Canis lupus familiaris: one gene and its partner. The protein of the gene in region 2 binds, or shares a complex with, the protein of the main gene of each other region. Links are inferred from orthologs where the notes say so. Each region holds a gene or a part of one and is shown on either strand. Other genes may lie near its edges.

Region 1 (3,662 bases), on a different chromosome or scaffold from region 2:
TACTTTATTAGTTGTGCAATCAGAGTGCATATTTAAGAAGGATAATGGTGAAAAGATGTCAATTAGCCAATATACCTACAAGATCCACAAACAGGATATTAAAAAGAACACACTTACTTATGTATACCCTTCCCTGCACACACAATCCCCCTGGATATAAATGAGCTCATCCGCTGACTGCCAGATGGGCTGGTACCCTGACCAGCTCCCGTGAAAGGGTTAGCTTTTGGCCACATCAGCAGAGACAGTTCAGGACAAACAGTTCACACTCCTGGCTGTGAATCCACCCTAGGGAACAAGGTAGGCAGACAATGACACAGCTGGATCCTGGCCCTAGTCCCTCCAGCGGTGTCCACACTGAGCATTGCAGCACTTGTAGAAGGTGGTCATCGGCTCGTCTGCAGAGCGAGTCTGAAGCTGCATGAAATAGGCACGAGGATGTTCGCATTTAGGACATGACTCTGGCAACGAGAAAAACAAGTGACCCACATTATGCTCATGACCAAACACACCTGCTAGAAGTAGGTAGGTATTAACACACCAAATCCCTCCCCGACCCCAATCATCTGGCATCCCCTGCCTAGGGCACCTTGCGCCATGACTGAAAGGCTGTAATTAGTGGCATCATTCCCACTACACTCTCACACTGAGGGGACTTGTGACCCTGGAAAACACTCCTGCTCCCCTCCCTGAGTCCCATTTTTCTTCTCAAATCTGGTTGAAGACTAGCTGGAAATGTGACATGAAATGTGGCTTATGGCTACCATGTGCATGATGGGGTCCACTCTGGGCAGATTCTTCCAAGTGCATCTCCATCACCTAAGCCCTCTCAACTTCCTGGAGGAGCCCCCAGGGGATGACAAATCCACTTCCCATTAAATTTAGGGATCCATCTCGGCAGCAGTTCCTCAGGCCGTTCTTATGAAGACCTCACCATACAACCCACACCTTTGCCAAATACCTCAAGGCAAAGTGACTTCAGTTCGGGAAACTGACCCTATGCTTGATAATGCCTTCAAACACTCACAAACAGCACTTTGAACATTAGGTACCAAAATCATCTTCTTTTCTTTCCTGGCAAATTCTGCCAATGCTAATTTTACCATATCAGATTTAGATGTTCTTCTATGGGGGAGAAAAGATAATACTAAACAGGAGTTGGGTCTTCCTCCGCTCAACACAGATGTGTTTAGGGCTCTCTTCTTTCCTTCCCTGGTCACATCTACCTCTATCAGACAGGAAACAAGACTTGAAATAAACATGTGAATGCTCTCTGCCATCAGCTTTTAAAAATCTACACCAGGAAGAAAAATAAATAAATAAATAAATAAATAAATAAACAAACAAACAAACGAATGAATGAATAAATTAATTAATTAAAAATAAAAATCTACACCAGGGATCCCTGGGTGGCTCAGTGGTTGAGCATCTGCCTTCTGCTCAGGGTGTGACCCCGGGGGGTCCCAGGATCGAGTCCCACATCGGGCTCCTGTATGGGGCCTGCTTCTCCCTCTGCCTGTGTCTCTGTCTCTGCGTCTCTCATGAATACATAAATAAAATATTTTTTAGAGATAATTAATTTTAAAAAAGATCCACAACTGAACAAATGGACCATATACTCTTCCTTAGGCTCCGACTTTCATTACTGCCATCGGTTGCTCCCCGCACAGCCGCCACTTGAGGACCACGCTAGAGGCCAAGTGCTGCGGGGCTCCCTTCACGCTCTCACAACGGAGGGAGGCCACCAAGGTCATGCGATGTTAAGAGGCTGTGGCTTTGAGACTAACCCACACCTGTACGTCTCTGGGGTTTATGCCAATATTGCCTGTGTAAGAAATAAATCACTAAAGAAGAAAATACACACGCTATTTTTAGGAGCTTCCTTCCTCAAAGGCAGCGCGGCCTCAGCTCTCACCTGCGGTGGAGTCCACGTTCTCCCAGGCCGCCGCGCCGCCGAGCACATCGTCCACTTCTTTCAGCTTCGGGTACTTCCGGTTGGTGACCTGGCGAAAGGCGGCAGGTGTTCAGGCCGCGGGTAGGGGCGCGGTGCTGACCCGGCCGCCGACTGCCCTCCTCCCCGCGGGCTGCACGATCCTGGGCAGCCGCGTCTCTACACCCGCGGCGCAGGGCTCGGCCCGGGTCCAGGGGCTCCAGCGTCGGGCCGGCCCAAGAGGCGGATGCAGCCGGGACCCCCCACCCCACCCCGTCCACGCTCGGCCCGGGCCCTCCGCGCAGGCCCCCGGCTCCGTCCCGGGCGTCGCGGCGGCGGCCCCAACTCCCGCGGGCAGCTCGGGGCGGGCGGTGCGCCGCGGCTCCGTCCAGGGCCCGGGTTGGGGCCGCAGCACCGACCCCAGGCACGCAAGTCCCGTAGAGGCGTGTCCGCAGGTGACCCGAGTCCGCCAGAGCCACGCTGCTCGGCACGACCCAAACACGGCGAGGCTGCGGGCGGGGCGGGGAGGGCAGCGGGAGCACGTGCAAAGGCCCGGCGGCCGTGTCGGTGCGCGGCGCGGGCTGCTCCCCGGGGGCTGGCGGCGTCGGCCCGGACCCGCAGTCAGCCGCGCCAGCGCACAGGGCGGGCCTGATCCGGCCACGGCTCCGACGAGGCCGCCCGGGCCGCCGCCGGGGACGCCGCCACGGGAGCCGGGTGAGGCCAGGCCGCTCCCGATACGGCGGGGGGCGGGGGCGGGGCCGCTGGAGCACCCCGGCGGGGCGGGCGTCGGCTGCTGGGCGGGGGGCGGCGGGTGATCACCTTGCGCGTGATGTTGTGCACGTAGGGGCAGGTGTTGCAGGCGAAGCGGTGGCAGCGCTGTCCCTCCTCCACGATCAGCCCGTTCCCGCAGCCCGGACAGAAGAGCAGCATGGCTGCCCCGCGCGCTCCCGGCAGCCCCTGCGGCCGCGGGGCGCCGGCGTCGGGCCCGTCGCGAGCTCCCATTGGCCCGGGCCGCCGCCGCCCCAATGGCCGGGCCGGGTTGGCGCTCCCAGCAGCCCCTGCGGCAGGCCGCCTCGAGCCTCCCATCGGTCCCCGTGGCAGCCCCGCCCCTCGCGGCCGGAAGCGGCGGCGGCGCGGTCGGAGCGCGGGGCTGGGCGGGCGCCCTGGAGCCGGCGGAGGCCGAGGCCGAGGCGGAGGCGGCGGCGGCGCGGCCCGAGGCGCCCGAGGCCGAGGAGGATGAAGAGGAGGCGCTGCCGCACTCCGAGGCGGTGGACGTGTTCCAGGAGGGGCTCGCCATGGTGGTGCAGGACCCGCTGCTCTGCGACCTCCCGATCCAGGTGCGCGGCGGGACCTCGGTGCCTGACCTCCCCCTGTGGGCGCCAGAGGTGACGATGCGGCGGGCCTCGATTCTCCCGTGTCCTTTAAGGACCTCACTGACCCGAGCACGAGCGGGGGCAGCAGGGGACAGGGACAGGCGGACGGTCGTCCGGTCCCAAGGCGGACCCCGACGGCGCCCCGGGCGCCCCGGGCGCGGCTGCGCTGCAGGTGCAGGTTCTAAGGTCGTTTCCGTAGTTGAGGCTCAAGTGGGGAGAACGGCTCCACCCCGGGACTCCGCATCGAGATTCGCGCCCCGCCCGAGGACGTTCACTCCTGGGTTGGGCGCCCCGGTCACCCTCGCACACCGGCCTCCCCTCCCCCCCCCGCCCGGTGTCGCCCTGGATCCCGGACTGAC
Region 2 (3,745 bases):
AGGGAGAAGCAGGCTCCATGCAGGAAGCCTGACATGGGACTTGAATCCTGAGTCTCCAGGATCACGACCTGGGCCGAAAGCAGGCGCTTAACTGCTAAGCCACCCGGGCATCCCAACATGTACCCTCTTATCATGGAGCATACAGTCAGTGATATTAAATGCTTTAAATGTTCTCTGTGCAAGCTTCAAAATTTAAGTTCTTCATCATACTTTGAATTTAAAGCACCAGAATTAGTTCCTTGGGAATTTTTATGAATTCAAAGTTGTTTGGTGTTTTTTTCTTTTTTATTTAAGTAATCTCTACAGCCAACGTGGGGCTTGAATCCACGACCCCAAGATCAAGAGTTGCATGCTCCTGCAACTGAGCCAGCCAGGCGCCTGCTCCTCATGAATTTTTAAACTCACCCAGAACTCTGAGTGGGTTGGACGCCTTTTTATTTTACAGCATGGAATTGTGGCATCATCCTATCATTCAGTTCTATCTATAGTTATCGACCTAATTCAGTTTTCTATCTTTTTTGAGTCATCTGTTTCCCTTGGAAAGTGACTATTTCATTTCAATATTAAAATTCATTGGCAGCATGAAGTCGTATAAAGTACTTTAATAATTTGTAAACCTCCCTCTTGTTATTTTTTTAAAATAAGCTTTATGCCCAACGTGGGGCTTGAACTCACAACCCAGATATCGAGAGATGCATGCCCTACAGACTTATCCAGCCAGGTGCCCCAACCTTCCTTTTAAACTACCAAAAACCGTATTAGTGGCAATATTACCTTTCCTTTTCGAGTCAACAGTGATTTATAGAAATACTTTAAAAGGTTAGGTGTTCTAATTTTGTTTTTTTTTTTTTTTGGGGGGGGGTTTCCTTTAACCTTTAATTTTTAGAGTTACACCATCATACTAGTTTTACCTGTCCAAATTTAGTTCATCCTTCTAAGCCTAACATATAGGCCAAATCCTTCAAGAAGACTTTCTTCTGTCCTACTGGTTCTCTCCCTTCTTTAAACATATATATATATATATGTTTATATAATAAAAATATATACCTAAACACATATATAAATATATACATAAACATATATATATATATTTATTTATTTATGATAGTCACACACAGAGAGAGGCAGAGACATAGGCAGAGGGAGAAGCAGGCTCCATGCACCGGGAGCCCGACATGGGATTCGATCCCGGGTCTCCAGGATCGTGCCCTGGGCCAAAGGCAGGCGCCAAACCGCTGCGCCACCCAGGGATCCCAACATAAACATGTGTATTAAATATATAAACATGTTTATACGTATAAACATATTTATATATAAACATATATAAAAACATATATAAACATATATATGTTGAGGATATATATATATATATATATATATCCTTTATACATAGCCCATAGTGTTTATACATCTTCCCCCTTACCCTGCCTCAACGCCATATTCAGGCTATTTCACTCCTTTATAAGGGTTACAACTTAGTTCAGTGATTTGTGGGTTTTCACAGCAAGATCCCACCCAACGCAACAAATATTCATTGAGCGCCTGTGCATCAGGCACCGTATCAGGCACTGGGATCCGCGTTAAATGAAAGATACCATCCTGCACTTGAAGAAAGCCTAGTAGGAGTGATGAACAAGTAAACAAATTACCCAGGTGAGCTTCAAGAACTTAGTTTGGAGCTTAAGATAATATAACGTGTATAAGCAGCTTCCAACCCTGTAAAACAAAGGATGCAAGAGAACAGATCCCTTCAGGGAGGGAGAAGGGAGCTAAGGTACCGTCAAGTGCCGCTTTACCGTAAGTAGCCTAATAATCCAACCCATTAGATATACAATCTATAAGCGACAGCACCTGCCTTAAAAGCACGTGGGATTGTAAGGGGGAAAAAAATGCAAATTCATACCTACTAAAATCAGAATTGGGAGGACGGGACGTTTAAATCTGCGTTTTAAACAAACTCCCCATGGACTCAGGCCACCCAAGGTTTTAGAACACAGCGCAGTCAAATTCGGCAGGCCTCATTCCCCAGCCGCTCCCTCCCTTCGGCTAAGGAGGCTGGCCCCGCGGCGCGCCTCTCCTCCCTCCCTCCCTTCTCCCCCGGAGCCGTCCATCTCGTCGGCGGTCACCCAGCGGGAGGCAAGGTGCAGCCACCTACCGCCCAAACTACCACGCAGACACCTGGACCCTCGCTCCGCAAAGGATTCCGGGAAACCTCAACAAGCCAATAAAGGGCGGGGAGGAGGGGCAGAAGAAGAGGGACGAGCGGCTTCTTTGATTGACGCGAAGCACGCCCAATGAGAGCAGAGGACCAGGGACGCTTCCGCCTCAATGGGCGGGCTGTTAGCAACGTCAACCAATCCGACTCCGAAGCGTCTACCTTGTGGGAGGTCCTTGAGGCCGCTGAGGTCGTTGGTGTCTGTTGAACGGCTTGTGGAAGTCGTGCTGCCTTGGGCAGGGCGTTAAAGTCGTTCTCGAGGGGAACGTCTCTGTCCGAAGAGAAAATGAGTTTAGCTCTGAGGTCGGTAATGAGGAGGCCGCAATGCCCTCCACACCTCGCAGCGGGCCCCAGGGCTGGCGTGTGTAGAAGGGAGGTAGCTGGGCCGAGGCGAGCTGGAAGGGGATGCATTTTGGGATGAGGGCGAGGAGCCTCGGCCAGCCTTCCTGGCTCGGATTCCTCACCCTGGGGGCCCTGGTGCTCCGCAGGTGAGGAGTCCCGTGCATTTGTGCCGAGGTAGTTAGCGTCTGTATCAGCGCGTCGGGCTTTGCACCACCGAGGAGATGGGTTTCTAGTTGGGAGGAGGGAGTGAAATATCGCGATGCTTCTTCTCGCGGTGTTTCTCCGCGAAGTCAGGCCGGGGAGCCTCCCTGGGTTCAGCTCCGCCCTCCGGGTCTCCGGCCCCTGCAGCCCCTGCAGCCCCTGCAGCCCCTGCAGCCCCTGCAGCCCCTGCAGCCCCTGCAGCCCCTGCAGCCCCTGCAGCCCCTGCAGCCCCTGCAGCCGTCAGACCGAGCTATAAATTTTGGAAAGAGCTTTAAACTCTTCCTTGCTCTTATCCTGGGGCCCTGCTTTAAGATATAACGGGCGACCCATATAAATGACTTTAATTGATTTCTCAAAAAAAAATTTTTTTTTAGTTTTGTTTACCTTTCATTGACTTCCAATCTCTAACCCCGTTCGTTGCCCCCAGCAGCAGCAGCACCTAGATGTTTTTACACGTTGCACCTTAAAAAAAAAAAAAAAAAAAAAAAAAAAAAAGGTGGTTACGCCTTTCTGAACAGGTGCGGCTTTGGGTTGGGAGATGATGGTGGCAGCCCTGCCTCGACCCCGTGGCGGGTCCTGCTGTTGACCTGGCCGTCCAGAGAAGGTGACCGCGGGGACTGGGGTCCCTGTTCGCGCGAAGTCAGGTGTCTTGTGAAAGGTTGTCCCCCCGCTCTGTTTATTACTATAGGTCTCCTGGTCATCTTCTGATCGTCTGTCTCTTGACGGTTTTGTGGTAGGTTTTTAGAAAGCAAAACACAGGCAAATAGGTAAGGTGTTTTTATTAAATAAAATCAACTAGGCTTTACATTTCAAAGTGTTAGGAAATTGGTTTCAAACTTCTTGTACGGATGTTGCGGCACCATTCGAAATTTTGGAACACTAAGATGAGTATCTCTTAAGACATACCTGGCTTTTTTTTTTTTTTTTCCTTTTTTTTTTAACATTTATTTATTCTTGAGAGTTAGAGAGGCAGAGACACAGGCAGAT

Evidence for each region. Proteins that work in one complex are often made in the same cells at the same time.
Region 1: POLR3G (region 2) and POLR3K share a complex: the UniProt entries of both Homo sapiens proteins name them as parts of the RNA polymerase III complex. The link is inferred for Canis lupus familiaris from reciprocal best matches to the Homo sapiens genes POLR3G and POLR3K.

What each region holds. Positions count from the first base shown.
Region 1 is NC_049227.1:40,886,960-40,890,621, reverse strand, and holds the start of POLR3K (DNA-directed RNA polymerase III subunit RPC10), read right to left. Parts: upstream 2,910-3,662; 5' UTR 2,861-2,909; coding exon 2,750-2,860; intron 2,004-2,749; coding exon 1,916-2,003; intron 462-1,915; coding exon 334-461; 3' UTR 1-333. Other genes in the region: SNRNP25 (U11/U12 small nuclear ribonucleoprotein 25 kDa protein), read left to right, coding at 3,226-3,267. UniProt on the Homo sapiens protein: Core component of RNA polymerase III (Pol III) which synthesizes small non-coding RNAs using the four ribonucleoside triphosphates as substrates. Can mediate Pol I proofreading of the nascent RNA transcript.
Region 2 is NC_049224.1:18,660,795-18,664,539, forward strand, and holds the start of POLR3G (DNA-directed RNA polymerase III subunit RPC7), read right to left. Parts: upstream 2,499-3,745; 5' UTR 2,378-2,498; exon of another isoform or gene 2,362-2,377; intron 1-2,361. Other genes in the region: CETN3 (centrin-3), read left to right, coding at 2,502-2,518. UniProt on the Homo sapiens protein: DNA-dependent RNA polymerase catalyzes the transcription of DNA into RNA using the four ribonucleoside triphosphates as substrates.